Linked DNA regions of Ovis aries. The protein of the gene in region 4 interacts with the protein of the main gene of each other region in a pairwise test. Links are inferred from orthologs where the notes say so. Each region holds a gene or a part of one and is shown on either strand. Other genes may lie near its edges. The genes, in order: NDN, HPCAL4, VSNL1 and FAM131C.

Region 1 (7,416 bases), on a different chromosome or scaffold from region 4:
CATTGGAAGGACTGATGCTGAAGCTGAAACTCCAGTATTTTGGTCATCTGATGTGAGCAGCCGACTCATTGTAAAAGACCCTGATGCTTGGAAAGATTGAGGGCAGAAGGAGAAGAGGGCATCAGAGGATGAGATGGCTGGATGGCATCACTGAAGCAATGAGCATGAACTTGGGAAAACCCTGGGAGATGGTTAGGGACAGGGAGGCCTGGCATGCTGCAGTCCATGGGGTCACAAAGAGCTGGACACGACCGGGCAACTGAACAAGAACATCTTACATCCCAGGAAAAGAAAAACAAACTTACTTATAAACAGTTTGAATGAACAGTTTAGGATGCTATTGGAGGTAATACTAGGAGAACATGACTGCTTTCAAGGCCAGACTTTTCTCCCACTGGAAATGATACTCCTGAGCTGCTCAGGTAAAACTCAAGTGGAGGGGGCTATAGATGACTTTTCAAGTAGAGGAAATACACACCTGCATAAGAAGTTCATTTAAAACATATCTTTTCTTTTTTTATAATGATACTACAAAAGTCATTTATTTTGCTCTCAAAATACCTTATATGAGGTAGCATTACATTTTTTATGTAAAGCCTTTATTTTTAAAATAATTTTATTTTTATATTATTTATTTTATTATTTTTTTAAATATAAATTTATTTATTTTAATCAGTTAATTACTTTACAATATTGTATTGGTTTTGTCATACATACTATTTTAATGGAAGCTAATTACATTCAGTTTACACAGGTCCTTTTTGCCCTCCATGACTTTAATTAAATGAAGTTAATTATAGGGAAATATACCTGTGGGTGTCTATAAAGAAGTGAGGTTCTTGTTGGCAAAACAGACTGATAAAGCATCAGATGTTACCGGGAATTAGAAACTCTTTCCCAGCAGCAGCAGTCTGGGCTTCACCGCACTGTCATCTCGGCTGAAACATCCAGGGTCTGCAGACTCCATTCCGAAAGAGCTCTCGCAGCACCTTGTAGATAAACCTTCTGGAAAATACATGACCAACCCCTCAACTTTCAGTTGAGCCCAGCATGAAAATCCAAAAGAGATACTGGATGTCCCTTCCCTGTGCCCCAAGCTACTCTCCATGCAGGACCTGGTGTCATGAATTAGCTCTGTCCTGCATCTGGGAAGCCTCTCTCTCAGGGTCTGGCTGTCTCCAAGCCTGCATAGGAACTGAGAAGCTCTGCCCACATGGGGTCAGCTTGCTGGGGTCAGCTTCTCATTTCTCATGATCCTGTCCTTCGCTCAAGATTTGGTCCTCTACAGCACCGGTGATGTGCCTGTGTCAGGGAGCTTGGGAGAAGCTCTGGGGTGGTTCTGCCAGTCTTTCCTGGCAGAAAAGAAAGCAAATACAAACACTGGGAAGTAAAAGGACTGCGTGGCTGGTGACTTCTGGGTTTGATGAAAGAAGTGCTCAGGAGTTAAACAGTTGTTTCAAGCTGAATTAGGGCATTAGACAAAGTGTCCAGCACCCCAGCTTGGCTGGGGAGACTTACATTTAAAGGGGCAGATTTGTTTTGTTTCTGCAGGAAGTTTTGGGTTGAGATGGAGGTAATTTTTTTTTTTAAGTTTTAAAATGTCTGAATTAGCTTTGGCTCAGTTAAGAGGTGGCATCAAAGCCAGGGCACACTTGCCTAAGTTATTGCAGAAATGCCCACTACTCCCCACAGGAGACCTCACAGGACATCTACTAAAAGGGATAAACTTCCTCTCAGGACATGGGAGGCTTCTTCAGCACTTTAGCACCAGCACCTGCCTGTTAAGTAATGTTCTTTAAGCGCTGGGAATCCTAGTCTCCAATTCAGATAGTAATTCTCTCACACAAATACAACTCTCAGATTACTTCTTTTGGGGGTAATGTCACCTATGCATTCCCCTCATTTTCCATCTTCCCCAGAAAAGGGTTTGGCTTTAACGAAATGATCTTTTTCAATGTTCTGATGTTTGAAGGATTTTTGGTCTTATTAAATCCTATTTCTCTTTCTCCCCCTTGCAGCTTTGAGCTCCCTAATGAGATTTATCCTCAGACACTGCCCCTCCCTGACCCCATCCCACCTTCTGAGTGGTTGCTTAGTGGCCCATGGCAATTTTGGAGACACCCTAATAGGCGACCTTCCCACCCCAACCCCACATCCCTCTCCAAGGTGTCCCATGTATGTTCCTCCAGACCACTGGGCAGTCAGCTCCATCAGCACAGTCCTTCAGAAAAGACCAAGCTTCAAATCTTGGGTTCACTGCTAAGTAGGAACAGGACTTGGTTAGATCCATTAACCTCTCTGAAATGAAGTTCCTTGACTTGTACAGAATATGACTTAATTCCCCTAAAAGATGAATGTTTAGGATTCATTAGTAATAATCTTTAGCTGTGTGTGTGTGTTGAGAGTAGGGAGCTACAAGTACAGGCTATAACATGAAAACTAAAGATGCTAACATGGAACTTTTTAAAGGCACAATCTAAAAGGCAGGAGTCAGGAGGGCAGCTGGAGGCAGGTGAGTATAAGTTCGGCCTCTGGGCTCATTCAGTCTGGGTCCAAACCCTAAAACTAAGCCTCTCCTCCCAGGAAGCCTTTATGATCCAGGGAAAGCTAATTATCTGCTTTATTTCTGTATTTCCTCCACGGTGCCTGCTTCACAAGGCTATTGTGAGGATTAAAGAGAGAAAATATATGTAAGGGTTTAGTACAAGGCCTCTCTTAGTGCCCACAAAAGACAGCTATTATTTTTTAGAAAATATGGAAAATGTAAGAGGGGCAATTACTCTAAATATCAGCATTTGTTATTTCTATATAATGTGATTATGACCCCTGTTTTGGTTTTTGCACTTCTACTTGTCAAAGCTTTGATATGAACTTGTGAATTCCTTCCTGAAAATAAAACTATGCCCTTTACATATTTATGAGTCATGATGAGTACTGACATCCCCGTCCTATTAGATGAAATAGTTATATCTGTATACTTTGTAATTCCCATTCCAAACCCATAATATTCTGTTAAGAAGATAAAGTACACTTTTTCCATGAATGACTGTATCACAAGAATCTTTAATGTTTAAAGTTTACTCATGGTGAGGTTGTATCTGTGTTTAGTAAAGTGTGCCCACATTGAGTCTGTTTCAGTTCACATCACCAAACTCCACAGGGATGTTTCCCGTGCCCAGGCAGAGCACAAAGACAGGGGTCAACTTTTCTCTTGGTTAGGCCAGCTTTTCTGGGGAGTTTTTCCAAACTCTGCAAGACCAATTTACCCCAATACACAGCCTCCGTCACACGTAAAAGAATATGGAAAATGCCTCAGTGTATTTCATAAGTTTAGCATGTCTCTGGTACAAAAAATTCAAGAAAGGTAGCACAAAAGCGAAAGCACCAACTGAGCTTAATTACAAACAACCATGCATGAATCCTATACACTAATATTACTGAAATGAACACAACATTGCATTAAGAGGTATAAAAGCACTGTATGGAAAACTTAAAAGTTACACGTGAAATACTGCACTGTAGATCCTGAATACTCTAACGTCCCACACTCCCACCCTTCCTCCACCCTGGTGAGGGGCAGAAAACTTCCATCTGCCTCCAGACCTTGCTAGTCCTCGGAGACACTGTTGCGGGGGCAGTGGGCAGTGGGGTGGGCCTCCCGCAGGGCTCTAGCCTCTTCCAGAGCCTCCCTGTAGCGGGAAGGCCAGGCCTGGGGGTTTTTCTTAAAGACCCTGGCCAGGAACTCCATGATCTGCATCTTGGTGATTTCGCGGCTGGCACGGGAGCCCCAGAAGAACTCGTACTCAGGGGGCTCGACATGGGGGACGCGCTGGTACTTCAGGTAGTTCTGCTGGACGAACTCCTCGGTGATAAGCTTTCTCACGTCTCCGAAGGTGGAGTGTTTCTTCCAAGGCCTCAGCCCCAAGATGCGCAGCACGTTCCAGACTGCACTCTCTCGAGCGCCGCGACCCTTCACGTAAATGAGGCTCAGGATCATCAGCAGGAGGCCCGTCATCGGCATGCGGTTGCTCAGAGCGACCCTGTCCAACTCCTCTGGCTCCAGAGCTTTGACCAGCGAAAACTCCATGGTGTGCAGGCTGGTCAGCCTCAGGTGCAGCCCGAACACGCGTGCGAGGATGAGGCTGGTGCGCCGAAGGATGCTTCTGCACCACTTCTTGTAACTGCCGATGACATCCTTCACCATGTCTGGGAACCAGATGATCATCCTCTTCTGGTCCTTGACCAGCACGTACCACATGAGCTCGTGTGCCTTCTGCACCAGCTGGGCCGGGGCCGGGGGCGCCGGGCTGAGCTGACTTGTGCTCGGGGCCTGGTGGGGACGGCCTTCGTCAGCGGCCTGCTGCAGGGCCTTCGGGTCTCCCTCTTCGCCTGGAGCCTGGGAAGGCAGCGAGACCAGAGGGGCATCAGGCGGGCTTAAGGGAGGGCGCTCTGGCTCAGTGAGTGTCGCGGCCTGAGACCCCGGAGGAGAGGGCCCCCCGGTAATGCCGGGGCTGCCGTGCACCTCGGAGTTGGAGGCCTCGGCCGCAAAGTTGGGGTCGCACACATCCTTACTTTGTTCGGACATATCTGTTCGGTCTCGCAAGAGCAGGGCCGCCGAGTCCGAGAGCTCTTCGAGTCTGCTTTCCCTCCGCGGACTCCTGGAGAGGAAGTGCGCATTGCTGCGCGCGGCGCCTTCCGCAGAGGCCAGGCAGGGCGGGGCGGCGGCGGGCCGGGCCAATGCGCCTGCGCGTCCGCGCGCCTGGGGCCCGGCAGTCGAGTTGGCGGGCGGGGCTCCTGGTGGGCTGCAGGAGGGGGCTAGGAGGCCCCCAGTAAGCATAGAGGGTCCGCTAGAATATGGGCCTCAGTGATCACACCCCCTCCCCAGGTATCCTGTTATGGCTAAGGAGGAGTTCTTGAGGAGGAGGGGAGGGAGATGGGTGAGCACTGGACAAGGAGTCAGTTTAAGGGACAGATGGCAATTTAAGCTTCTGAAATGCTGAAACTGAACTTTCTTAGGAAGCATTTGATTAGGTATATCCAAAATCAAGTTAGAGATCAATCCAAGAGTAAGAACTAGGCTGGTGTGTCAACTAGGTTTCAGATCAGTGTGAGAATTTAAACTGAGAGAACAGCCAGGATTGCCCAAGAAAATATGTCAACTCTGAAAAAGAGAAGTCGCTTAGTCATGTCCGACTCTTTGCGATCCCATGGGCGTAGCCTACCAGGCTCCTATGTCCATGGGCTTTTCCAGGCAAAAATATTGGAGTGAGTTGACATTTCCTTCTCCAGGGGATTGAACCCAGGTCTCCCGCGGTGCAGACAGACAGTTTACCCTCTGAGCCACCAGGAGAACTAATTGGACAAATTGGAATTCTGAAGAATAACAACAAAAATTCATTGATTTCCTACCGTATGGAAGAGTTTTGAACAAGAAATGCAGAATGTTGTCAATCCGAGTGTGATCGAAGTTCTCTTGAAGGCAATATAATAATGACTTTGTTAGTGTTTTAATGGTCATTGATTTTGGTTTTTCTATTCCATTGGATAATTTTGATGTAAATTTTGTTTCATTAGAATCCCCTCACACAAAGATTATATTAGCATAGACTCATAGGATGTCTTTCCGCCTGTTTTTCCAGGACCTTCCTTTTCTTTATGACTGTTTCAACCTCCGCTTTTCTTCCTGTGGAAACTTCACCTTCTTAGAGCACAACATCCCCATCTTCCACAGATACTGAATAGTATCACATGCAAATCCCTCCCAAGATACTTTTTTTTTCTTTTTTAAATTAACCTAGATCCCCAAAATTTTCCCAGATAACAATTGATTTGAGATGTAACAATTGGTGGTTGTATATCAGTTTTCAAATTTAGAAACCAAATCTGCAGTTTTGTTTGAGACTGTCAACAAAAACAAAGTTGACAGTCCCAGAGGTGCATCCTTTAAAAAAAAAAATTGGGCACAGAAACCTCTGGATCCAATGTTCCTGCAGCTAATCAACATGCCTTGTATAAGCCATTGTGGTCTTTCAGCCATTCCTGGGTTTCCTCAAACTGGCAGCTTCTTACATATGCCCTCAGTGAGTCTGGCTATTGTCACTCGAAACCTAACTCATATTACAATATTGTTTTGACATTTCTAGAATCCTCTCTTTATTAGCTTGTACCCTTTTCTTTTTTTTAATTTTTATTTTTACTTTATTTTACTTTACAATACTGTATTGGTTTTGCCATACATTGATATGAATCTACCATGGGTGTACATGCGAACCCAAACATGAACCTCCCTCCCACCTCCCTCCCCACAACATCCCCCTGGGTCATCCCCATGCACCAACCCCAAGCATGCTGTATCCTGCATCGGACATAGACTGGTGATTCGATTCTTACATGATAGTATACATGTTTCAATGCCATTCTCCCAAATCATCCCACCCTCTCCCTCTCCCTCTGAGTCCAAAAGTCGGCTATACACATCTATGTCTTTTTTGCTGTCTTGCATACAAGGTCATCATTGCCATCTTTCTAAATTCCATATATATGTGTTAGTATACTGTATTGGTTTTTTTTCTTTCTGGCTTACTTCACTCTGTATAATCGGCTCCAGTTTTATCCATCTCATCAGAACGGATTCAAATGTATTCTTTTTAACAGCCGAGAATACTCCATAGTGTATATGTACCATAGCGTTCTTATCCATTCATCTGCTGATGGACATCTAGGTTGTTTCCATGTCCTGGCTATTATAAACAATGCTGCGATGAACATTGGAGTACATGTGTCTCTTTCAATTCTGGTTTCCTTGGTGTGTATGCCCAGCAGTGGGACTGCTGGGTCATATGGCAGGTACCACTTCACACCAGTCAGAATGTCTGCGATCCAAAAATCTGCAAGCAATAAAGGCTGGAGAGGGTGTGGAGAAAAGGGAACCCTCCTACACTGTTGGTGGGAATGCAAACTAGTACAACCACTATGGAAAACAGTGTGGAGAGTCCTTAAAAATTGCTTGTACCCTTTTCTCATTTCTCACTTTACTCAAGTAGATTGACTTCAAAGGGTTTTTCCCTTAGCTGTTTTTATCTTTGGATTTTCATGCTTGTATCACTTTTAGGAGGACCAATTTGACCTCAGTCCAATAACACCCCTTAATCTTTTATTTCACAAGGATAATTCCTACAGCTCATTTAGATATATCTCAACTGCAATTTTTCTTGTTCATCATTTTCTTCTCTTTAATTTATAGGTTTCTATTTTTTAAATATTCCTTACAGAGTAGTATTAGCTATATTAGTGTTTTCAATTATTATTATGTAAGAATGGCTTAAATTGATTGATTGCCCCCATTCTTCTTAAAATAATCCTCATTTCTTGCAGTTTATTTCCACTAATTTTCTTCTTTTTTAATTCATTTGTATA
Region 2 (8,195 bases), on a different chromosome or scaffold from region 4:
AGCAAGATTAATTTTCCGGCAGTCAAAGCATGCAGCTGTAGAGCTCACTGATCCAAAACTGGAAAGCAGACACTGAAAAGCAAAGCCAGTATACTTGGAAGATGACAAACTACCTGGCAGATTCAGGATTGGGAGTTAGAAAAAGCCTTTCAGATGGAGCATGCCCGGCACATTTTTAGGCATTTAATCCATAAACGCAGCCTGGCAGCCTAAACAGTGGCCGGCTGGTCTTCTTCTAGCTCCTTCTGCTTCTGGAGCAGTGAAAGAACAGAGCCCATCCTTAAACTAGACCAAATCCAGATGTGGGAACTACACTTGTCTCACTCTTGGCAAGCCTTATGTTCTCTGTTACTGAAGTCAGCTCCTAATCAGCATTAAGTGCACAGTAGAGAGTTGCTCACTGAATTGAAAAAAAGATCATTTAAAAGGAAGCAGCAGAAGCTGCTGACAGTGACAGTTAAGGATTTAGCCTGATAAAAAAACGTGTCATCTGGTAAGTTGGGTGATATTTTCCTCTTTTTTTTTTTTCTCAGCTCTTTTTTACCCCCTGAAAATTAGCACTTTCTATATTCATTTAATCGTTTTACAAGAAACCAAGTCATATAAAGTATGTTTTAATATCCTCAACTAATAAAATGAGTTTAGTCCTTTTAAAGGGTATTAAAAAATAAGTATTACCTCAATTTCAATTTTTCTTAAAATCCCCACTGTGGTTCCTAGATTTCCAAATACTTTCCGTTTCATCCCTTCTGCAGCTCTGTGTGGAGCTGAGCAGAAAGATTTAACTGTTCCTCTCAAACTAACCAGCCTTACTGTATCCTCTCCTCACCTGAGCTCAGTGTCCCTGTCTGAGACCCTGACCACTACCCTGTGAGCTGCCAGAGGGCCAGAATGTGTCTTGTAAACTACCATAGCCTTAGCACCTAGGGGTGCCTGGCCTTGAATAGGTGCTCAATAAATGTTAGTTGAAGAAAGTACTGAGTGAACACTCCAAAGGCTGGGGCCAGAGGGGCCAGGTAGATTTGTGGGGGCAGGGCACAGACCACCCTTAAGGGTTCTGGGTCCTCAGTGAAGGACAGACCCAATTTGGCCCTTTAACTGGGGTCTGTAGGACCACATCCTATAAAGCACAATCCCAGAACAGAATTTCAAAGCAGAACCCAGCCCTCCTCCCTTCACCCTGTACCTTGGGGCAAAAACCAGCTCCCCTATGCCCAGCAGATGTTGGTTCTGGGCCAAGACTGGGGCTGAGGCTAGGCCATTAAATACCTGAGGATCTTCTCTATTCCAGGGTGAGGTGGTCCCTTAAGGATCTTGACTGAGGAGAGCAAGGGCTTGGGCAGAGGGGTGGGTGGGCCAGAGAGTGAGGCTGGAGTCCCCCTCCCCCTAAGGAAGGGCCAGCCAGAGAGGTCACTGGGTTGGGAGGTGGCCACGCCCTTCCTGGCCAGGGGCCCTGCCCCTCACCAGCCTCTACTTCTGCATGTCGCACTGCAGCAGCAGCACAATAGATGGGTCACTCTTGGCCGCCTCCTTGAACTCCTCCAGTGTAATCTGGTCGTCCTTATCTTGATCCATCTTCTTGAAGATCTTGTCCACACGCTGCTGGGGCGTGAGCCCATCCTGGTTCATGCGCATCATGATCACAGTGCCCACCATCTTGTAAATAGCCTGTTGGGGCAAGGAGGGAGGTGTGAACACTCACCACAGGGACAGGGGACTGGAGGTGAATGAAGGGACCCGGGCGTGGCATGGAGAACAAGGGGTCGTGTGAGGATACTGGAAGGTGATGTACAGTCATTAAGACTGGCTATTTACTCAGCATCTCACACCAGATGTGTCTACTACCCAGCTCTTCACCTCCAACCTGCTTCTGCCCCAGCGGGCCCTGTCTCAGTGAACAGCAAATTCATTCTTCTAGATGTTCAGACCAAAAGCCTCGACACCATTCTCGACCCTCCTCTTCTCACACCCATGTCTAATCTTACAGCAAATCTTGTCAGCCCTAATTCTGAACAGGCCCAATAACGAGCTGCTGCCTGCTACTTCCATTGCTCCACACCTGTCGCCTCCATCCCCCTGTGACCGGACTGCTGTGGAAGCCTCGCAACTGGTCTCTCCCTACTTTTGCTGACCTCCCACCCGCTCAGTCTGTTCTCCACACAGAGAATAGAGGGAGCCCTTAAGGGCTTCGCATCTCACTTAGAAGAAAGTCAAGTCTCTATCCCAAATGATGATGCTAAGAAACAGTCTCCTGACTACCTATCTGACTTCTTCCTACCACTATCCCCTTGCTTACTTCTGTCCCACCACCCTGGGCTCCTGGCCACTCCTTGAACACTGGAAACACAGTCTAGTGGGGTCTTTGCATTTATTCTTCCCCATATGGGGTCACACAGAGTTGGACACAACTGAAGCGACTTAGCAGCAGCAGCAGCAGCAGCAGCAGCAGCAGCAGCAGCAGCAACATGCAGAGATCCTCCCCCTGACACCTATGCAGTTAGCTCCCTTACTTCTTCCAGGTTACTCCTCACATCTCACCTTACACAAAATCACTTTTCCTTCAATGCCCTCTCCTCTTACTTTGCTTTGCTTATCTTCTTTGTAATACTTACTGCCTGACATAGCATAGGCTTTGTTTTGTTTAATTTTCTTGCCAGAAGGAATGTCCTATGAAAGCAAGAATTTTAAACAGAGACTGGCAGGTGGCAGTCTCTGTTGAAAGAATATGAGTTAAGAACTTGGACTCTTGTTGAAAGAATATACATTTGTTGAAAGAACACTGAGTTAAGAATTTGGGACTCTGGAGTCAGACTCCTTAGATTTGGGATCAAGAACCAGTCACCTGATACATTTCCTCAACCGTAAAATGGGGTTTCTAACAGTACCGCCTAGACTTGTCGGGTAAAGTACTTAGCACAAGACCGGTCCTACTCTGAACACCCAATCAAGGCTAGCCGCTGGATCCTGGGAGGAGGCAGGAGGGAGGAGGGGAGTGGTGGGCTCTCGAGGCCTGAGCGGGGAGGGTGGCTGGAGAACGGCCCTCGCAGCGAAGACAGGAAGCGTGTCTTCCCAACCCACCTCAATGATCTCCAGCATCTCGAGACGCGTGATGCGCCCGTCACCGTCCAGGTCGTACATTTCAAAGGCCCAATTGAGTTTCTGCTCGAAGCTACCGCGGGAGGTGACCGAAAGGGCGCAAATGAACTCCCGGAAGTCGATGGTGCCGTCGCCGTTCTTGTCGAAGGTGCGGAAAGCGTGCTGCGCGAACTTGGAGGCGTCACCGTAGGGGAAGAACTGAGGCGGGGACACGCGGGGCTGGGGCGCAGCGACAGCTCCGCGCTCGCGGCCCACCCCTTGGCTGCCTGGCCCCGCCCCCGCTCATCCGGCCCGCCCTCCAGAGTGTCTGGCCCCGCCCCCGCTCGTCTGGCCCGCCCCCTAGAGTGTCTTGCCCCGCCCCCTGTCTTCCAGCCCGCCCCCGGAGTGCTGGGCTCCGCCTACCTTGATGTAGAGCTGCTGGAACTCCTCCAGGTTGAGGATGCCGCTGGGGCAGTCCTTCAGGAAGCCCTTGTACCACTGCTTCAGCTCCTGCTCACTGAACTCGGTGTTTTGAACCAGATCTTCCAGCACCTCTGGGGCCAGCTTGCTGTTAGTCTTCCCCATGGCAGGGCCTGGAGGACAGAGGGCTCCCTCATTTTGGTCCAGGGCAAGGCCGTCACCTCAGCAGCCTTCCGCCAAGTCTCTCTAGGACGGGGTTCCCTTTCTCCACCACAGCCCCTTCCTCTAACAAACTCCACATTCCCACAGCCAGGACCCCATCCTTCCACAGCGGGGCGGGGGGAGGGGTCCTCTTCTCACCTCCATGGTGGACACCCCACCTCCTACAGATGGGTTCTGTCATTCCACCACACTCCTTCCCATAGAAGCTCCTGCCTCTCCTCTGCTCCCCTCTTTCCCCCAACACAAAGTGGGGGCTTTCCCCTTATTACATCCCGATTACAGGGCCTCCTCTCCAAGCAGGCCTCTCCTCTCTGCTCACAGCAGTTTTCCTCCCCTGGCAACCAGGGTCTCTAGCCTCCCAGGGCTCAACTCTCCTCATTCTCACTGACCAGTTTGCAAATCCCAGTCTTCATTCTCTCCTCTCCTCTTTACACCTTCCATAGCTCCCTACACCCATAGAATAGTCGTAATCCTCTCCTTGCTCTTGAGAGCTCTCTGCACTCAGCCTCTACCCACCGCTACAAGCTCCTCTCCTACCTGGCAGGTTCCTCATGTGTTCCCCTGGCGCTGTCTCCCAAGTCCTTCCTCAAGACCTTCCAGGCCACCTGAGCAAGAAGCTTCTCTCCCTTCTTCCTCTGTACAAACAGAAATCCTAGCTGGTAACCCTGATGACCCTGACTGTATTCTCCTTTTCATTAGTTCATTCATTCCCTGAGCATTTATTGAGGCTGACCATGAGCCAGGCCCTGTGCTGATGATAGGGATAAAGTCAACACGAGCCAGACTTCACTAACTCATAACTCGATCAAAGAGGCTGATTGTAAAGCACCTTAAATCCACACCAAGGAGTCTGGCGTGGGGCACAGAAGCTCCTGTGGTTTTAAAGCAAAGGCTGGAAAGACCAAATTCATTACACAAATACTTATAGGTTGTTTACAATATGGTGCTGGGGACCCAGAGAGAAGGAACGTGTTTTTCAGATTTTTCCTTGGCTACAGTGTACGAGATGACCTGGGTCGGGAGAGGAGGGGCAGCTCTGCTGCAGCGTTCAGGTGGGAGGTGATGACAACAGGGTGGGGTGGTAGAGGGATGTGGACGGACTGAGAGATGCTAGGAGGAGGCACTGGCAGGACCTGGGGACTGAATGCATGCGGGGCTGAGAGTGACAGAGGACTGCAGCCAATGCTCAGAACCGGGGCTGAATGGATAGAAAGGATAGAGGTGGTATTTCTGAGACGCAGGTTTGGGGAGGGTGAAGAGTCAGGCCCCAGTGGGACCATGAGCCCCTCAAGTATCTTGTGCCTGAGGAAGTTCTTGCAGAGGGAGGTACAAACTCTCCCCAGGAAGCCTGGCTGGAGTGAGGCCCCTGGCAGGCCCTGAAGGCTGAGTTGACATTCTTATCAGACCTCCATGGGGGGAATGTCCTGCTAGAGCCTGACTTCCCCAGGACATGACCTGGGAGGTGAATCTGACCCACCCAGAGTCTCTTTGGAAGAGTGCCAGACCCCAGCTGCAGGGTAGCCTGTCATGAAGACACTCTGGAAAAGGACACCCGCAGGCTGGCAGAAGGAATTCCACTTCCACAGCCCAGTGCATGCCTGTGTGGCTTCTAATCCTTACTGCTGGGAATACCCTAGACAGCCAGGTCTGAGTTTGGTCAGTTCCCTGCCCTCTCTCCTTGCTTCATGACTTCAAGCAACGATCTCCAGCCTTTTTGGCACCTAGGACCTGTTTCATGGAAGACAATTTTTCCACAGACCACAGGGTGGGGGGATGGTTTCAGGATGATTCAAGCACATTGCATTTATTGTGCACTTCATTTCTATCATTACTATGTCAGCTCCACCTCAGACCATCAGGCATCAGATCCCAGAGGTTGGGGAGTCCTGAGTTACAGAATACCTCTGGATCTCAGACCCTCCCCAGGGCCATGAAGAAGATCAAGGAGCAGTGGAGGCAGCAACATCCTTGCCTGCCTCCCACCCCCAGAGGATGATGAATCCTACATGCTCCCAGGGGAAGCCAGGGAGGGGGAGGTGCGCCATCTTCAGGAACTTGGAACCAGGGGGTCCCACACAGCTGTCCTGGGACCGGAATCAAAAGCACAACTGAAACACACATGGGCAGAAGGAGGCGGGCTGCATCCTCAGCTGCCCCCTCCTCCAAAGCACACTGAAGGCTCAGGTACGGTCAAGAAAGTTCGAGAGCACAGAGGTAGTGGTGTCTGGTGGGGGAGGCAGAGCCTCTCCCTCTGTCTCCTGTGAGATGTGCCCAAGTGTCTGTGTAAGCGGTAGGAGTGGGTGGGAGCACGTCAGGGTATAAGACTGCAAATCTGCCAGAAGGCACACACACGTGTGTGTGTGTGTGTGTGTGTGTGTGTGTGTGTGTGTGTGTGTGTGTGTGATGGAGTCTATGTGGCTCTCACCTTCTGCCCCTTTTCTCTCCCCCGCTCTGTGCTGCCTTCCCACCATTTTCTGTCTCCTGGCCATACCTGTTCTCAGTCCCCATTTGATTCCTGGCCCACCAGGGACTATGAAGGAGGCTTTATCTCTCTTCATTCCTTCTACCACTCTTAGGTCAGCAGGCCAAAGCTTTTAAGATCATCCCCTTACGTTAGTGAAAAACTGGAACCCAGAGAGAGGAGAAAACTGGCTCAGAGTTACACCCAGGCTGAATCCATGCCACCTGCCTGGACTGAATCCTGCCACCCGCCCTCTCTGAATCACCTCTTGTCCACTACAGACAGAAAATCTATGGCTCTGATCTGCCTCTTGGCCTCAATGGGACCATTTTGCTGGCTCCAGGTCACACTATCTGATACCCAGGAAATATCCACCCTTGGGGTGGACCACCAGAGCCTCTGACTCAGCACAGCTACAGCCAGATTCACCCTCAATCTGTGATGGTCCTTCTCTCTCCATCATCCTTCCTTCCCTCCCTGGGATCAGGGAGGGAATACAACCATAGTTGCATTTAGTTTCCCCTCTTCCTTTTCCCTGGGTCCCACTTGCTACTAAGGCCTATTGTTCCTTCTTTTCAAGTGCTCCTGGAATGTACACCACATCCTCTCCCCACGACCCCCCCACCTCGCCACTGCATAGTCAGGGCCAGGGGCACAGCCAAAGGGGCTGAAACCCAGCTGAGGCACTGCTTGCCAGGGCTTTCCTTGTGATTCCTCTGTTCAACAGAATGTCTTTTCTAGTTTTGCCCAGAGGTACAATATAGGGTAAGACTCTTGAGAGTCCCTTGGACTGCAAGGAGATCAAACCAGTCCATTCTGAAAGAGATCAGCCCTGGGATTTCTTTGGAAGGAATGATGCTAAAGCTGAAACTCCAGTACTTTGGCCGCCTCATGCGAAGAGTTGACTCACTGGAAAAGACTCTGATGCTGGGAGGGATTGGGGACAGGAGGAGAAGGGGACGACCGAGGATGAGATGGCTGGATGGCATCACTGACTCGATGGACGTGAATCTGAGTGAACTCCGGGAGTTGGTGATGGACAGGGAGGCCTGGCGTGCTGCGATTCATGGGGTTGTAAAGAGTCGGACACGACTGAGCGACTGAACTGAACTGACAATATAGGGTAAGGGTTGCCATACCCATGGATCCCCTCAAACTCCAGAACCCTCTAGAATCTCATGTCTCGAGTCAACTGTCTAGCGTTACCTCCCACTACTCCCCTCACAACTACATACTTCAGTCAGAACCTACTTCAATTGTTGTTCATAATCCTTCCTTCTCTTCTGGGCTGATGCAGCCACAATCAGCCTTCAGGGCTGACTAAAGCCCACTTCCTTATGATCAGCCTCTCCCAGACTGGAGAGTGGACAGTCAGCAGCCTAGACTTAGCATTCTGGGCATGAGTAGACCCTCTGAGGCCACAGAGTTGACCCTGACAGGTGCGTAGACTCCAGAGCTCTCAGACCCTCACCTGGTGCTCTGGAATTCCAGAATGGAGCCTGATTTGGGGAAGAGTTTTGCATTACACTCTTGTCTGGACCAGAAACATTTCTCCAGACATTTTGCTCCATGGTAGAGAGCTTATCCTCTCCCAATATAACCCTGTCTGCTTGGGAGCAGCTCGGACAGTGAGAAAAGTCATCTTCCCTCACTCCCATTTTCTCTCTTGTAGCTGCCCACACAGGTTCCCATTCTGCCCTCTCTGGCAGGACAGAAGTGCCCTGCAGAGACCTACTCTGGAACCCAGAGATGTTCAATGAATGTCCCTTTGAGGATTATATTCAAGGGGCAGAGCCCCCTTCTTTCTCCTTGGAACAGCATCAGGCTGTTTTATCTGTGTTCTCCTGCCATTGCACCCACTTAGACACAATAGAACCTAGATCTGAGGAAAGGAAGAGTTCACCCAAGGTCAAGTGGAGTCCATCAGCATGAAGAAGGCCAGAACCCGCGGGGGCATGTTCTGTTGGAGCTGTGGCCTAGCTGAACGTAGGCAGGCTCCTCTTGAGGGCTGCCTCCA
Region 3 (8,200 bases), on a different chromosome or scaffold from region 4:
GGGCAGGGCTTGAGGAGAGAACGGTTATTACACGAACTGTGTTCGTTCTTGTTTCGAAGTTAAGAGGCAAGACGATTGGCCCTGGGATTCCTTCTCAGGATCCTGTTTGCTGCCACAGTAGTTAATGTCAGAGCACTTTAACCTGAAGGATGACACTGTAACTTGATTGAACTAATCCGCTTTTAATTATCGATAGCTGTCTTATTTAAAACCCTCCTACATAGAGTACTAAGGACCACTGTAAACCTCTCATATGACTTGTAGTGCTACGAGATTTATTTACATCCCAATAAAGAGAACTGGATGTTTGCTTGAAAAAAAGACATAGAAAAATCTATAGCTTGCTCAGGACATTTCTAATCATGCTGTCTTTTTACAGAATGAGATTCACACCACAGCAAAGCAAAGCATCTTTAGTAGCTACAAGTCTCTGACCTCTGTACAAGGTATGTGGTGTATAGAATAGCTTGGACATGCCTGTTTTCAGAACAGAATAGCAAGGCCAGGTGACAGTTGACCCACGAGGATGTGTGAGGGACAGACTCTCTCCAAGACAGAGCTCATCCCAACTCAGCAAAAGTTTACCATGAGGGAAATGGTTAAGTTAAACTGTTAATTGGGAAATGTGTTGAGAAACACACTACTTTGCTTTCTGAGCTTCAACACTTGCCAAGTGTATTTAGCTTATCTCTCAAATGAGGAAGAGTCTCAGACTTTGTCTTTCTCAAGCCTCCCCCAACTTCTCAGCTTTTTCAGGTAAGAATTCCTGGCATTTCCCCAAAGGGGACATTTGTGATAGTTCCTGAGTGCCTGGGGAGAAGGGACAGGGGTGACTGAATTATCTTTAAAAGGCCTAGAGCTTCATGGCACAGATACTCAAGAAATTTGTATGGAAGGGAGAATATGAGGGAGAAATAGAGAAAGCAAATGAGTGGAAAAGAGATTTAAAAAGAAGGAAAGAAGAGGGCAAATTAGGCAGGTATTATTATTGCCTGCTTTGCAGTCCCTGTCCAGCAAGACTGCGCTTTAAAAGCGCTGAAGGCTTTAAAAAGCTGCTCTGCTCTCCTTTATAGCGCCTTCTTCAGGAAGGAACAGTCAGGTGTCTTCCTTCAGTCTTCCCGCCCAGCCTTCAGTCCCTCTCTCTGCAGGTGGCTTTGCCTGGTGGATTTCCATGAAGGCTGGAGACAGCTAGGCATCTTGGATTTGGGTTCTGCCTTCTAGGAGCCAGAGGTGAGCTGGCAGCGCCTGCTGTGTGTTGACACTGCAACTTCCTCACTCTGCTAGGTCCCAGTGCCTGCAGCCGCAGCAGAGCTGAAGGAGGTGAGACAGGTAGACCAGAAGGGGAGATGCCTGCAGTGTCTCAGAAGGCTGGATTCCCTGAAACGTTCTAGGGGAACAGAGCAGAGAGGGGTTGGCGATGGGCCTGGACAGTTTTCAAACGGGAGCTGAAGATTCCAATTGGTTTGTCAGTTCTCTCCAAACACTCGAAGGATTCCAAAGGAACTGACTGAGATGCCAGGAAGGCCAGACTAAACATCTAATGAAGTGGGTATATTAGAAGTGAGGGGCAACAGAAAAAAGAGATAGAGGCCTTACGAAAAAAGAAAGGCAAAGAGAGGTGCAGCAGTGTAAAAAGGAACCTGCGGGACTCTTTTGAAAGATGTGCTGGGAGCAGGCAATTATTTTTTTAAGACCTCAGCGATGTCACTGAGGATGCTATAAGTGCAGAGAGAAAGGAACATTTTCCCTCAACATTACTCTTTAATTCTTTATTCCATAGACTCAAAGTTAATTGACTTTCCCCTGGCTTCATGGCCCTGGGCCTCAATTTTCTCATCTATAAAACAAGGGATTTGGACTAGATGTTTTCGAAGGTCTCTGCCCGATGCGATTCTCTGTAACTCAGCCTTATGAACCAGGGTATCTGGGAGAAAACATCTATGAGCTTTCACACCAGGTTTCCCCCTTCTTTCTCCTCCACTCATTTATCAATGCAGTGTTGCACCTGCACCGTTCAGAGAGCTGTTCCAACTTTCACTGATGACAAGGAGTATGGCTCAGTTAGGACAAACGACTGGCCCTTCTGCCCTGGAGTAAAGAAAGGAGGGACCGAGAAGGCAGTATGATTTACACTTTAGGTTTCCAAGGAGAGGATATTCTAGAATTTTCTACTTCAAATTTCATCCACTTTAAAAAAAAACGTAGATTCCTTTGAAAGGTTCCAAATAGTTGAACTGACTAAAGGGTCAAGAGTCTAAAATGACTTGTCCTATTTGGAGTAAAATGTATTTCATTTCATCATAGAAACTGGATCTGCTTTTTCTGTGGAAATTCAGCACACTGGCCATGCTCTCTCCTGTCTACCTGCCTCATGCCATTCTGCCAGCCTGCTTCAGAGCAGCAATTTCTGGGGTTAAACACGGAAGCTTAATAAGCCTGTGCTCAAGAGTGGGGTGTTCAATGATGCAGGACCCCTCTATACCACAACCACCCCCTCTGCGCACCCCCTGCCCCCAACCCGGCCACCTCCACCAAAGACAACAATAGCCAGTTTAAACGGTAGTAAGGAAAAAAATGTGTCTTCTCAAGAGTTTCATTTTTAATTTTTTCAATGTGAAATTCCTTTAAATTGAAAAATTCAATATGTAGAAATACAGTTTCCCTGGGTCCTCTTGTCTCCAAGTGAGATGTGACAGATAGTATACACTTTTTTTCTACACCCACTAGCATTTCCACTTCATTTTGATCTCCAAAATATGGACAGGAGGGCAACTCTAGAAAAATGTATTCTCACTCTGGTATCTCCTTGCAGTGCTGAGCACCCACAGAGAGCATCACCATTTCCTGCACCCTTCCCCAGTTCCCCAGACCCCCTGATTTCCACAGAGGGTTTGACCTTGCAAAGACCCTTCTTCAGTATCTGGGCAAGGAACAATCCATTTTAACTCAAAACACAGAACGACCTGTTCTCCTTTAAAGAAACACTATCAAAGGTAAAACATTTGGTTTTTTATTTTTTCAACCCTGCATTCTGGAATGCAAATACAGCATGCAAAGGCAGGTAACTAGTTTGGATCTGTCAGTCCCCATTCAAAGGCTCTGAGTCTCATACTCTGTTCAAAATAGACAGAGCTGACCGGGTGGTTGAACATCTTTCCTTTTTCTGCCCATTCACCATCGTGACGGAAAATCAAAACCGAAAAATTATCTTCTCATTTCTAAACACTAACAGAGAAATGAGCTGATTTTGCGCCTAGCCCTGTGGTTCTAAACATCCCACTTTGGAAACCAATCTTGGTCTCCACATCATCTCGTCCACTCAGTTTTACTTAACAAACACGTTCGCTCCTCTTCCACGGTGAGAAAGATGGTGCACCAGCCCCACGGATGACAGGTTGGTACTTGACTGCAACCGCTCAATAGTTTTATCAGCAACCGGAAAACTTCACAATCGGTCCATTAGCTACTTAAATCTGTGTAAGGAAATCTGCCTGTATATAGACACACTTAAAAAGCACCTCAGTTTCACCTGTCTTAAATCTAGCCTAAGGCAATTCCCCAAACACGCCGCCTGTAAACACTCCCCCTCCCCCCACCCCTCATTATTCCAAAAGGTCCCCCATGGGCTAACAGTATACGTTTAGCATTAACCAAAGCTATTGTCACACCATGCATTTAGACGTATCTATGCAAAGCCAAGTAGGTGACAATAACCAAAGCGTCTCCCAGACAATTGGCTGCACTACACATGCACAAATGCAACGAAGATTGTATTTTCCACTTACAGTTATAGCGCTGCTCACGGTCACTTAACGAAAATGATAAAACTCAACAGTTCTCTATAAATAAATGTATGTATATATATTTAATTCGGATGAACGGTTAAGCCGTCTCTGGGTATGGTTCTCTTGCTCTCTCTTTTTTTTTTTTCCAGTGGAGCTCTGGGCTGCTTAAATCCCTCCTGGATCGCGCCTTGCAAGCCCAGTCGCCGCCGCAACACGCTCCGGTAGGTCTCTGCTGCAGATTGGGAATCCCATAGAAAACCTAGGGTCCCTGGAGCAGGATGCGCAGGCGCGCGAGCCGCCGCCTCTCCAGGCACCCCCTCCCCTTTCCCCTCCTCCCGCCTCCCTCCTCCCTCCTCCTCTGGCTCCGCAGCCCAGCTCAGAGGGAGCTGGGGCCGGTGACCAAAAGCAGCCAGGCATTGGCGCATGCTCAGTTGGAGAGGCTCGGAGTTGCCGCGAGTGGATTCCGTGTCTCCAGATTTTAGCAGAAACTCGGAAGGAAAGTAGATAGGAAAAGGGAGCCTGGCCACTGGCGCAGCCCTTCACCTGGACTGGCTGAGCGAGTTGGCCTCACCACGCCCCCGCGTTTAACCAGCCAAGTCTGGTGGTGAAGGCTGAGGCCAGAAGTGGGACACGTGGAGCCTGCTTCCCGCCACCCTCAGGCCTGGAGGGCCCCCGGCCCACTCTTTGTCAGGCTTGTAAGGTGAAGGAGAAAACTGCAGAAATCTCTTGCTCCGAAGGAAACGTGCCCAGCAAGCTGTGAGCTTGTCTCCATGGCTCACTCTGAAGAAAACCCTTATGGTTGGCACTTTGTGTGGGCCATTTCTTCCGCGGGTCTTATACTGAGAGCACTGGGAGCCAGGCATTCTAAAAGCCTTCTACTCAGATGGTCGTGGTTCCCAATGGCCTTGGAGAAGCTGTGTGTTGAAGGGAGGGGCTGCTGAAGCTCTCATCCTGATCCTGGGTGACCTTGGGCCAATCATGCTAATCATCAACCAGCATTTACCAATAAGTGCCTTCTTTGTGCACTAAATACATTTTATTGAATATGATTTGGGTGGGGTTGTAGTGGGCAGTGAAGGGCAGTCAGTGAGCCCTCATGGGAATCCAGGGTTGAGGGATTGGACTAAGCCATTTTATAAAGCCCCCTTTTGTGTCTTTGAAGGACACGTACATTTGCCAGCCCTCCCCGGATCCTGACTGTCCTAGCCAAAGCCTAGAAGGCTTGGCAAGGAGTAGTGCCCAGTAAATGTTTGGTCGTTTCTCTACCAGACATGCAAGGTGAAGTCTCAAATGTTCTCAACCCAATTAATTTCCTAAAGTGTGTTGTTTGTACTTTTGCTTGCTGCTGTTGCTGCTGCTACTAAGTCGCTTCAGTCGTGTCCAACTCTGTGCAACCCCATAGATGGCAGCCCACCAGGCTCCCCTGTCCCTGGGATTCTCTAGGCGATAATACTGGAGTGGATTGCCATTTCCTTTTCCAATGCATGAAAGTGAAAAGTGAAAGTGAAGTTGCTCAATTGTGTCCGACTCCTAGAGACCCCATGGATTGCAGCCTACCAGGCTCCTCCCTCCATGGGATTTTCCAAGCAAAAGTACAGGAGTGGGTTGCCATTGCCTTCTCTGGTACTTTTGCTTATTCAACAATTATTCATTGACCACCTGCCCACTGACTTGAGGCATTTTTCAATGCCTTGGTGGTAAAGGCAGCGAACAAAATCCCTCTTGAGGTTTTCATTCAGATGGGAGTTTTCAAAAGAGGGACATTCTGCAGGGGCAGTGAAGATGGGGGCTTCCTAAATGGCTCAGTAGTAAAGAACCCACCTGCCGTTGCAACAGACGCAGGTGTGATCCCTGGGTGGGGAAGATCCCCGGGAGGAGGAAATGGCAACCCATTGCAGTACTCCTGCTGGCAAGATTCCATGGACAGAGAAGCCTGGCGGGCTACAGTCCATGGGGTAACAAAGATACTCTTTGTTACCCAGTGTTGATGGACTTTCTTTTTAAGCAGAGAATTTTACAACTTGCAAAGTGCCTTCAAACACCTTATCACATCCAGGAAGCTGATTCACTTGGCGGTACAGCAACTTTTTTTTTTTTTTTTTTTTTTAACCTGCAGTTAACCTTTCTGATCTGAGGACACTAAGAGTATCTCTTTGGGCAAAAGAGCTGGAGATAGACAAATCTCCATTGCTAGGAGGGTGCCTACTGCTGACTGCTAGTAGGGGGCGCCCAGCTTGGAAGACCTTGAGGCTACTTAAGCAAAGATCAAGAGAAACTCAAGTCTCTGGTTTTGGAAGGCCAGTGGTGGGTGAGGGCCCCAGCTGGTGACACCTAAGCCGCTGCCTCAAGCTCAAAGCCAACCTGGCCAGCCCAGAACTCAGGAACGCGCTCCGCTGGGCGGGAAGCCCTGGAAAGGCGGCACAGAGCAGAGGAGCGCTCCCGGGACTCCCTGAACTAGCCTTGCCGTAGCGCCCTCCCCGCGGGGCTCTTCCGCGCGGCGGCGGAGACCGCGGAAACCCGGAGCGTGGATTAGCGCGGAGCAGGGAGCGCTGCCCCGGCGCGCTGCGGCAGCCGAGCAGGTTGTGGATCTGGCGGGCGCCAGCCCTGCGCTCCGGGGACGCAATGCGCACTGCGCAGCGAGGCTCGCCCGGTCGATTCTTTCTCCGGATGGGGTGGGGGCAAAAGTCACTTCCAGATAAGTCGCTTTTGTTGGCCAGGGACACAACATCCAAAAGCTTTCAAAGTTATTCCTCGTCTTTTGTCCATTTCTCTACTCAAGCATTTTACGCTGTGCTCTCTGATTTCTCTCTCGAGAGCAGTCTCCGCACTGCAATCTGCATCAGCCGAAGGGGTCATGATGCCATTTCTTCGGAGAGATGTACCTATTCATTTCCCCTGGAGGTCTCTTTCGTGGCTGTGTTAGGTTTTAGATGACTTACTGGCAACTTGTGTGTCGGGTAAAGTGAACACTGAGACTTTAAACCGTGTTCTCTTGTAGGGGAGATTTGATTTAGAAGCGTGCGCTTTTGTGAAGCTGCTTTGTCTCATGGGGCAAGCAGATTTTGTTGGTTGTTTGCACTGAGGCGTTGTTTGGCGATATATTTTTTAATCCTCAGTTATTGTGCACCTTTATCTTTTTAGTGTTTGTTGTTAAAATGTTTTGTGTGATGCCTTTTATATATGTAACACTAAGTCACATGTAGTCACATAGGAAAGATGATTCTGAAAACATCGAAGGAATATGATCATTTAAATTACAAAAAGCAATTCATTTCTATAGGATGGTAGAGTTAACTCTCAAAAAAGGAGTGTGGTAAAAACACTAAACGCGGGAGCCCTGTGTTTCCTTCCTTCTTCGGTCATTTACATTTGTGATCACAAGAGAACAGAGATGCGCGGCTCTGGGACAGAGGGACTGGGATGCTGGGCCATGATGAGCGGAGAATGCCATCAGCCATAGCAGTTGCCCTATTACCTGAAGCCAAGTCCCTGACACTGCGGATCGCGGTGTCAGCTTTCACATCCTGGAGGTTTGGGAAGTGCTGCGTGCTAAGTCGCTTCAGTCTTGTGGGACTCTTTGCGACCCCATGGACTGTAGCCCGCCAGGTTTCTCTGCCCATGGGGATTCTCTAGGCAAGAATGCTGGAGTGTGTTGCCCTGCCCTCCTCCAGGGGATATCCCCGACCCGGGGATCGAACCCCCATCTCTGAAGTCTCCTGGATTAGCAGGCGAATTCTTTACCATTAGCGCCACCTGAGAAGCCAGGAGGTTTGGGGAGGGGCTGTGTAAATCGGAGCTGGGGGAAGGGAGGGAGAAAGGTTCTTTAAGGAGAGGATTGTTTATTTTTTGTCTGAAGGACCTGGTGAAACCCTCACTTGCCTGGAAACCCCTGAGAAGCCATTTTTCCCTTCCTCAGTTGCAAATAACATTCTTTTCTGAAGTAGCTTTACTTTCGCCTCACAAAATAAAACTAAGGACGATTTTCAGGTGTTCACAACTGATTTAATACTTAGTAAATTAATTTAATATTTCCATCCACTTTATTTGTGACATAGACAAACTGAAACCTGAGAATGGCAGTAAAAGTGCAAATTGCCAGTAATATAGCAGATCTCAGCTCATTGTAATATTATTTACCGGACATGCTCTGTATAAAACATATGAGCCCAAAAGGCTGGAACTGAAGACATGGGCGCATTTAGGAAACTGGAAGGAAAAGTGTTCAGAAGAGGACATTAGAAGATGAAAAGAGGCAGGAATTGGAAAAATGAATTTATACTCACTTGAATTCATAAAGAATAATGATAGTAATTTTTTTGTGTGGTAAAATGTCTTTATTTTAAAAACCTAAGGGTATTAATCCTTACAGAAGGAAGACATTATGTAAAATAATTATGTTTAGGAAATGGCAATCC
Region 4 (7,926 bases):
CTTATAATGAATATAACCAGCATATAGGAGAAATAAGTATTAACCTTTAAGCATATAGGAGAAATAAGTATTAACCTTTAAGATTAAGCATGTTAACCTTGGGTTAAATAAATTCCTTTCTTGATTATAACTCGCTACACCCTCACCCTATAGGAATGCAACTTTATTTGGAGGGTGGTGCCTGGTTTAAGAAAAAACACCCTTGGAAAAAATAAGTTTTTTGGTTATCAGAAAGAAAGGGTCATAAAACATCTGCAGGTCTCATGGCCAGAAGATGATGTAAAACCCCTCAGACTTTTTTTTATACATTTATGTGAAGCACCTGATTTTGATAAAGGTCAGGACTGCTGACCCCTGTGTGAATCTGTATTCATCCCTATGTGTAACAAAAGGTATATAAGCAAACCCCAAAATAAAGAAATTGGATCAGTTCCTGGAAAGACTGATTCCCCCATGTTGTTCTTTTCTGCTCCCCGTTTTTCTGGCTAAATTCCCATCTGGAGCGTGGGTGCTCGCCAAGTCTACTCATTTGCCCCGGTTTTCAAGCCCACGCGAGAAGGAGCCCAAGGAGGGGCACCTTCCGATATTCAAGTGGCACCGGTGGCCCAATGTAGATGGTGCAAATTCCTTGTCTTGAATTTTATTGGTATCCCACGTAAACCGAGTTATTCAGCCTCTTTTTCTCTCCTACTATTTTCCGGCCGAATTTCCATCTGGTGTATGGGTACCCACAAAGCCTGCTAATTTTGTCTGGGCTTCTAAGATCAGACCAGGTGGGCCTCAGTGCCTCCTCTCCTTCGGGAGAACGGGAAGACGCCTGCGGCCTACGTAGGTGGTGATTGGTATTCCATATAAACCAAGTTATTCGGCCTCTTTTTCTCTGCTAATTTTCTAATCCCTCTCTATCTGTAATTAAATAAGTTTTTTCCAAGGACGCCGACTCCGACCCCACCTTCAAATCACCCTGGATCCACCGGGGCTGGACCCCGGCACCAGTGGGGTCCCGAGAAAGCAACAGGCAGGCGTTCTGTGCTCAGGCTCCAAGATCAGGCAGTCCTGGATTCATATCCTACCTCTCTGGGTCCTGCCTGTGTGACCTCAGCCAAGACCCTACCCATCTCTGAGCCCTACGCCCCCCTTCCGGGGTTGAATGGGGTCTAACAAGGTCAGGAGAGTGATGCCTCAGCCAGCTCAGGATAAGCACTCAAGACAACACGAAGCAGCTCTGAGGAAAGGCATTTGGTGCCTCCATCTGGGCCCAATCACTTTCCCCACGTCCTCAACCCCTCAGTGTGTCTTTTCCTGCAAGGCTGGATGGTGCTCAAAGCCCCTGTAGCTTCCCCTTTCCCAGCCAAGAGGGTCTGGATTAGCTTCTGCACAGAAGGATACTAACAAAAATTAAAAACTAAAGTGCCAGCTAACACTTAAAGGGCTTGCTACATGCCAGGTAGTGGTCTGAGTGCTCTATAGGAAGTCATTTAATCCCCTCCTAGTATCCCTGGTGGTTCAGCTGGTAAAGAAGCCTCCTGTAATGCAGGAGACCTGGGTTCGATCCCTGGGTTGGGAAGGTCACTGGAGAAGGGAATGGCAACCCACTCCAGTGTTCTTGCCTGGAGAATTCCATAGACTGGAGAGCCTGGCGGGCTACAGTCCATGAGGTCGCAAAGAGCTGGACACGACGGAGCGACTATCACTTTCACTTCCAGTACCCCTAAGACATCCATGGAAGTGCCATTCCCATTTTAGAGATGAGAACACTGAGATACATGCACAGGGTTAAGTAACTTGCCGCGGGGGCAGAGCAGGCCGGCCGGCTCCAGAGTTCGCACTCCTACCCTCTCAGGGCTGGCTCGAGGGGGCTAACTGCTGCCCAGGGCTGGGTGGGGTGGCTCTCCCAGCTGTGGCCCGAAGCCTGGGCTTTGGCTGGGCGGCTGCAGTCGCCTGCAGGCCCTGGGTGGCTGTGGGCAGCAGAAGGATGCGGCTTCGCCCGGCTTCGGGCTGCAAGTTTGGCACGTGGAGTGCGGGGGCTGCTGTGGAGGCTCCCGGGCGTCCCAGGTGGCGCCAGTGGTAAAGAGCCCGCCTGCCAATGCAGGAGACATTAAGAGACGCAGGTTCAATTCCTGGGTTGGAGGAGGGCATGGCTGCTCACTCCAGTGTTCGTGCCTGGAGAATCCCGTGGACAGAGGAGCCTGGAGGGCTACAGCCCATAGGGTTGCACAGAGTCAGACACGACTGAGTGACTCAGCACGTGGAGACTCAGAGGCTCTTGGAATCCAGAGGCCGGGGGCTGGAAGGAGCAGGCCAGGCCAGCCCTGGGTCCAACGGCCGGCTGTGTGGCACAGAGAACAAGGGCACGGGTGCCGAAGCCAGCATGACCGCGTCCAAGGCTCGCTTCTGCTCTTTCTTAACCACGCAGCCCCAGACTGTTTCCCTGCCTGTAAAATGCGGGCTGTGCTAGTACAGACCCCAGACTGGCGAGTGGAGCCTGGAACGTTCCCACCAGCCCCTGGTGAGCCGCGCGCACTCTGGGAGGAGCAGGGACAGCTAGGGGGGCAGGTGGCCTCCACTCAGGGGTTCAGACCCCCCGAGCCAGAGCAATGGGACGATGGGTGTCCTCGGCTCAAGGGGAGCTCACGCTTCCTGTACCTGCATCCAACTTGCCTGCGGGCATGTTGGCACTGGGAGTGGGCAGACCCCGTCAGGAGGGCACAAGGTCAGGATATACAACGAGGAGCCCAAACCACAGCAGGAAGGGCGCAGACCTCCGGGTGCCCCCAGAGGGCACGGCAGAGGGTCCACCAGCTACGGGGGCGTCAGAGGACCCGAGCCCCTGCCCCAGCCCTGACAGCACCGCCCTGGTCTGTGGCTAACGGGCAAGTCTCCTGGGGCCGGGCCTCTGGCGCCTGGCACAGGACGGCCGGGTGCGCAGGAGGGCCAAAGGAAAGGGGACCCCGGGACCCCAATACCAGGGGCCTGCACAGCCTTCCGGGCTTCTGCAGACACACCAAGAGCCTGCTGGCTCTAAAGAAACTTAGGTACTCTCCACTCTACATAGTACCTTCCCCTCTGGCCAGGCTGGAGGCCCAGAGCAGACCCTATGCTGGGCTCACCGGCTCTAGGCACGCAGTGTGTACACAGTGGCTGGCACACAGTAGGGGTCAGGCTGACGTCAGCTTCATGAATGAATGAAAGAACCTCACACAGCCCAGCCCCCACGCACGATCCCACCCTCCTGAGACATCCTGAGCCACTTACCTGAACCCTGGGGGCCTGGTGAGCAGAGCCCCCAGGCAGAGCCCTTTACCCCCCCCCCCAACCCTCATCTCCCAGGGCGGGTCCCCTGGAGCCTGCCTAGCCCCTACCCAGGCCTGGTTACCCCTCCACACCTGAGGAAGGGCTGGGGTGCAGGATGCGGCGGTGGCCCCCCAAGGCTGTGCCTGGGGTCAGTGGGTTTGGCTTCATACCGCAGAGTGGGAGCCAGGGTCTGTCCGCCCTCACCTCAGCCCTGCTGCTCCCGCTGCGGGGTGAAGGGACCCGGCGCAGCCTCCAACACCTGCCCACCCCTTCCCTGCCCACCCCACCGCCCCCCAGAGCGGCTCCCGGGGCTCCCTGCTCCACCCCGGGGACAGCCAGGGGTCAGGCACCAGCAGGCAGCAGAGAGCCGGGCGGAGACACAGGCCGCGGCTTCCCGGGCCGGCCGCCTGTCCCCGCCTGTCCCCGCACCAGGCTGGCGGGGTGAGGCGCCGGCAGGAGGGGCCGGGGTCTTCTTTAGACCCTGTTCCTCCCGCTAACGCCTGCCGCGGGTGTTCAGTCTGAAGACAGGGAGTGGGGTACGCGGACAGCGGTGGGCCCTGTGTCTCGGGCGGGGGGGGGGGGTCGTGGGAACGAGGGTCGGCTTGCGCCGCGAGTGCCCCGAGTCACTCCGGAGAGGCCGGGGGCGCCAGACGCTCCGTGTCCCCCGCCCCAGGCAGGGGTGTGCGGCCGCCGGGAAGGGAGAGACCCGGCTCCCGCCGCCTGCTGGGGTGCAGATGCAGGCGGGGCCCCGCGTCTCCCAGGGCGCCGGTGGGGTGCAGCCGCCGGGAAGGGCGGGTGGGTCCCCCCGCCCCCGCCCAGGCTCCTCGGAGCGGCCGAGGGACTGCGCGCGACCCGGCGCGGGGCCCCTTCCCCCGGCACGGCCCGGGCCCCCTCACCTCGCGACACGCAGGAGCCCATCACGCGGCCACGGGGCCGGGCCGCCGGGCGCTCATGTCTCCGCGGGCGCGGGGCCCACGCGCGGCGCCGGCGCGGACGAGCGGGGAGGGCTCGGGCCCGCGGCTCCCGCCGCCGCCCGGGCGTCCGGCTCGCGCCGCCCGCTAGCCTGGCACCGCCTCGCCGCGGTCAGCGCGGGGGGGCCGAGCCCCGGCGGCCCGCGCACCTGTGGCCGCGCGGCGGGGGCGGCGCTGAGCGCGGAGGCGAAGCTGGCGGCGGGGACCCCGCGGCGCGGGGCGAAGGGCAGGGACGGGCGGCGGGGGCGGGGGGGCTCCAGCATCCGGCCAGCCGGGCGCAGCGCACGGCCGGCGGTGAACCGCTTTGCAGGGAAGAAACGGAGGGGTCACGGGCCTTGCCCAGGGCTCCTGCGAGCCCGTCAGCCCCCCACTGGGGGTCGATGGGCCAGGGCCGGGGATGTAGCCGGTGGGGACGGTGAGCCGGTAGGTAGGTCAGGGTCAGGGCCTGCGGTCCCCTCGGGCGCCTGAGGGCGGGTGACCGGGGCCCCTCTAATCACTCACACTCACCCTCTCACATGCCCACCCGTGAGTGCACGTACGCACAGTTGCACGTGTGAACATATGCTTCACCCACACGCTCACCACCGCACACACCCACATTCACACACACTCGCATTCACACACACCCGCATTCACACACACTCGCATTCACACACACCCGCATTCACACACACATTCACACACACCCGCATTCACACACACTCGCATTCACACACACTCGCATTCACACACACCCGCATTCACACACACTCGCATTCACGCGCAGTCGCATTCACACACACTCGCATTCACACCCGCATTCACACGCACATTCACACGCACCCCATTCACACACACTCACATTCACACGCACCCGCATTCACACACACATTCACACGCACCCGCATTCACACACACATTCACACACACCCGCATTCACACGCACTCGCATTCACACACACCCGCATTCACACGCACTCGCATTCACACCCGCATTCACACGCAGTCGCATTCACACCCGCATTCACACGCACTCGCATTCACACACACCTGCATTCACACGCCGTCGTGCTCAGACACCCCAGCGCCCCAGCCAGCGGCCCAGCACAGCCCTCAGGCACCGAGCGCTCACTTTCGCCTCCTTCCGCCTCGCTCCATCCTGACACCTCCGTGTGTGCCAGGCAGGCTGGATGGCACGGTGCCCCTTTTACAAGTAAGCAAGCCAGGTTCCCTGGTGCCCGCCCAGCAGGGTGCTGACGGATGAAGGCGGCTGGGGTGGCCGTGTGGTGGGGCTTGGGGCCTCCAGCCGGGCAGGATCCAGGCCTGGTGGCTGCCGGTGTGGGGTGGGCTGCTGGGGTGGGCGCTGCTGCCCCTTCTTTCCTCAGGCCTGGCGCCTTCTCCGGAGAAAAGTCCTGGTGGGGAGAGACCCCGGCCAGGGGTGTCCACCGCTGGTGAGAACGTGGGCTCAGCTCACACCCGCTGTGCAACCTGGAACAAGTTGCTTCCCTTCTCTGAGCCTCTCACGGGATAGCTGTAAGGATCCGTGAGATAATCTGTGCAAAGTGACTGAGCCGTAGTAGGTGCTTAGAGCTAAAAATAGCAGTGATGGTGAACGCAGGTGTGCGGCATTTCCTCACGCAGCGGGAATGCTGAGGACACTCCGTTCAGCGGCCGCATGCAAAGCGCCTAGGAGGTGCCAGCATGCCCATGACAGACACGCTGGTCCTGGAGCGCAGCGCAGCCCTCGGACTGGGCTGCTCCAGGCCGCCATGCCCTGCCCGCCTCAAACCCCCAGCCCCTCCCCACCAAGCCTGCTCTAGAGGGGAGCTCTGACCTCGCCCGTCCGCCTGCAGCCCAGGGAGGGGAGCCGGGGTCCTTTCTCTTCCTCCCAGCACTGGGCACCTGGCTCCGGCTGGAGGGAGCACTGTGACTCACCCGGACACAGGATGCTGGGTCACAGCCACGGAGGCTCCCCGCTGGCGGCCCGGCCGCTCTGGGGGTAGTGGGGGTGCCAGGCTCACGGGGAGCTGAGGGTGCCTGGGGAGCCCACGGCACCCCTTCAGCCTGAGACAGAGGCCCATGGGGACGCTGGGCAGTGTGCCACCCCAGGTCACTTCCTCCCCAGCCAGAGACAGTCCAGGGTGGGGCTCTGGCCAGCCCGGGCCTCAGCATTCACGCTGGTCAGCTCTCCACTGCCTGCTGCTCTCCTTGTCCAGATGGGCACTCAGAGAGGGGCAGGGGCCTGCCCAAGGTCACACAGCCAGCTGACGTCCGAGTGAGGACTGGAACACAGGCCTGCTGCCTGTCAGCCCAGCCCCGGCCCTCGGCTGAGACTGGGCCTCAGGGGGGTGGGCTGCCCCCCCCCCCCCAGCACACCCACATTCACCTTCCCAGTCCTTGGAATTCTGCTGAAGCGGACGATTCCCCGAGAGCGCCGAGACGTGTGGCTGTCCTTCCCTGGGGCCAGGCTGTCCTTTTCCATCTCAGCCCAGAGCCCATCTGCCTGGTGACCTTCCACCCCCCCCCCCCGCCCCCAGCCGTGCATGGGGGAGGGGGGCTCCTGGTGGGGGAGGAGCCAGAGGAGAGTGCCGACTGTGCTCTCACAACATGGTTTGGGGGGGTCCAGCCAGCACCCCCTCCGCGTGGCCTGCCCCGCTGCTCCTGGTGGACAATGAACGTCCACCATGCCGAGTGCCTGGCCCCAGGCTGGGCGCTGGAGCGTGGAGAGGAGACGCTGCGGGGTTTGATGGGAGAGAGGTCAAGGTCAACCAGCGGGGGGTTAGAGATGACTCAGACTCGGTCCCCGCCCAGTCCCAGGAGGCGGCACAGCGCAGTGCAGGGAGCGCAGTGCAGGGAGCGCAGTGCAGGGAGCCACATGCACAAGTAACTCTGGTCAGCGTGGCCAGCGGGGCGCCCCCACACCAGCCACGGGTGGTCGGGGGAGAGCTGCTTCTGCCAAGGGTCAGAAGGATGGGTGTCAAGGCGAGGGTGAGCCCACAGTGGAAGTTTGAAGGTTAAGAGGGATGTTGGCATGCAGAGATGAAGGAGGGCTCTATGTCCACAAAGACTCGGAGGCAGGGTGCTGACGGGCCCAGGGGGACTGGCATCTATGACACCCAGGGTCCAGTGGGGAAGGACGAGACTTTAGACTGGAGGTGCGCACCTCCCAGCCTCAGACATCTTCCTCAACACCAGTTTTCTCAGGAAAGACAGAGCTGGATAAGCAGAAAGAGAACAGAACTGGAAACCAGACGGACCTGGGTGTACCTCCGGTGCTCAGAATAATACCTAGTAGACGCTCAGTAAATATTCACTGACTGAAGGTGAGAACCTGCGACTTGTCCGAGGCCACACGTCCGGAAAGTGGTTGCAGCCAGGGCTGTCTGATTTCACCTCTCCTTCATCCAGCAGGAGACCTACTATGTGCCCGGCGCTGTGGGGTGGTGATGGAGACACATTCCCTGGGGAGGGAGAACAGATTGGTGGGGGAGGTTGGCATTAAGCTGATAACGGCCCGGGCAAATTGAGACTCAGCGCCCTGGAAGGTTCTAGACAAGAGCTCTTGAGAAGGTGGAAGAGGAGGACTTGATCTGGTCTCTCAGGTGGAGGGAGCGTCCAGAGGGGGTGACGGCGATAAGCCTGCAGGGGAAGGTGAGTGGGACCCGGCCTGGCAGAGAGACCA

What was found.
Region 1: the proteins of FAM131C (region 4) and NDN interact in a two-hybrid assay, tested with the Homo sapiens proteins (2 studies listed by BioGRID and IntAct). The link is inferred for Ovis aries from reciprocal best matches to the Homo sapiens genes FAM131C and NDN.
Region 2: the proteins of FAM131C (region 4) and HPCAL4 interact in binary tests that used the Homo sapiens proteins (3 or more experiments, as listed by UniProt). The two-hybrid records come from large-scale screens. The link is inferred for Ovis aries from reciprocal best matches to the Homo sapiens genes FAM131C and HPCAL4.
Region 3: the proteins of FAM131C (region 4) and VSNL1 interact in binary tests that used the Homo sapiens proteins (3 or more experiments, as listed by UniProt). The two-hybrid records come from large-scale screens. The link is inferred for Ovis aries from reciprocal best matches to the Homo sapiens genes FAM131C and VSNL1.

What each region holds. Positions count from the first base shown.
Region 1 is NC_056071.1:617,687-625,102, forward strand, and holds NDN (necdin), read right to left. Parts: upstream 4,674-7,416; 5' UTR 4,586-4,673; coding exon 3,608-4,585; 3' UTR 3,044-3,607; downstream 1-3,043. UniProt on the Homo sapiens protein: Growth suppressor that facilitates the entry of the cell into cell cycle arrest.
Region 2 is NC_056054.1:14,319,424-14,327,618, forward strand, and holds the start of HPCAL4 (hippocalcin-like protein 4), read right to left. Parts: upstream 4,369-8,195; 5' UTR 4,271-4,368; coding exon 4,255-4,270; intron 3,669-4,254; coding exon 3,499-3,668; intron 3,295-3,498; coding exon 3,079-3,294; intron 1,669-3,078; coding exon 1,471-1,668; 3' UTR 1-1,470. UniProt on the Homo sapiens protein: May be involved in the calcium-dependent regulation of rhodopsin phosphorylation.
Region 3 is NC_056056.1:25,654,068-25,662,267, reverse strand, and holds the start of VSNL1 (visinin-like protein 1), read right to left. Parts: upstream 4,027-8,200; 5' UTR 3,786-4,026; intron 1-3,785.
Region 4 is NC_056055.1:249,706,980-249,714,905, reverse strand, and holds the start of FAM131C (protein FAM131C), read right to left. Parts: upstream 4,329-7,926; 5' UTR 4,213-4,328; coding exon 4,191-4,212; intron 1-4,190.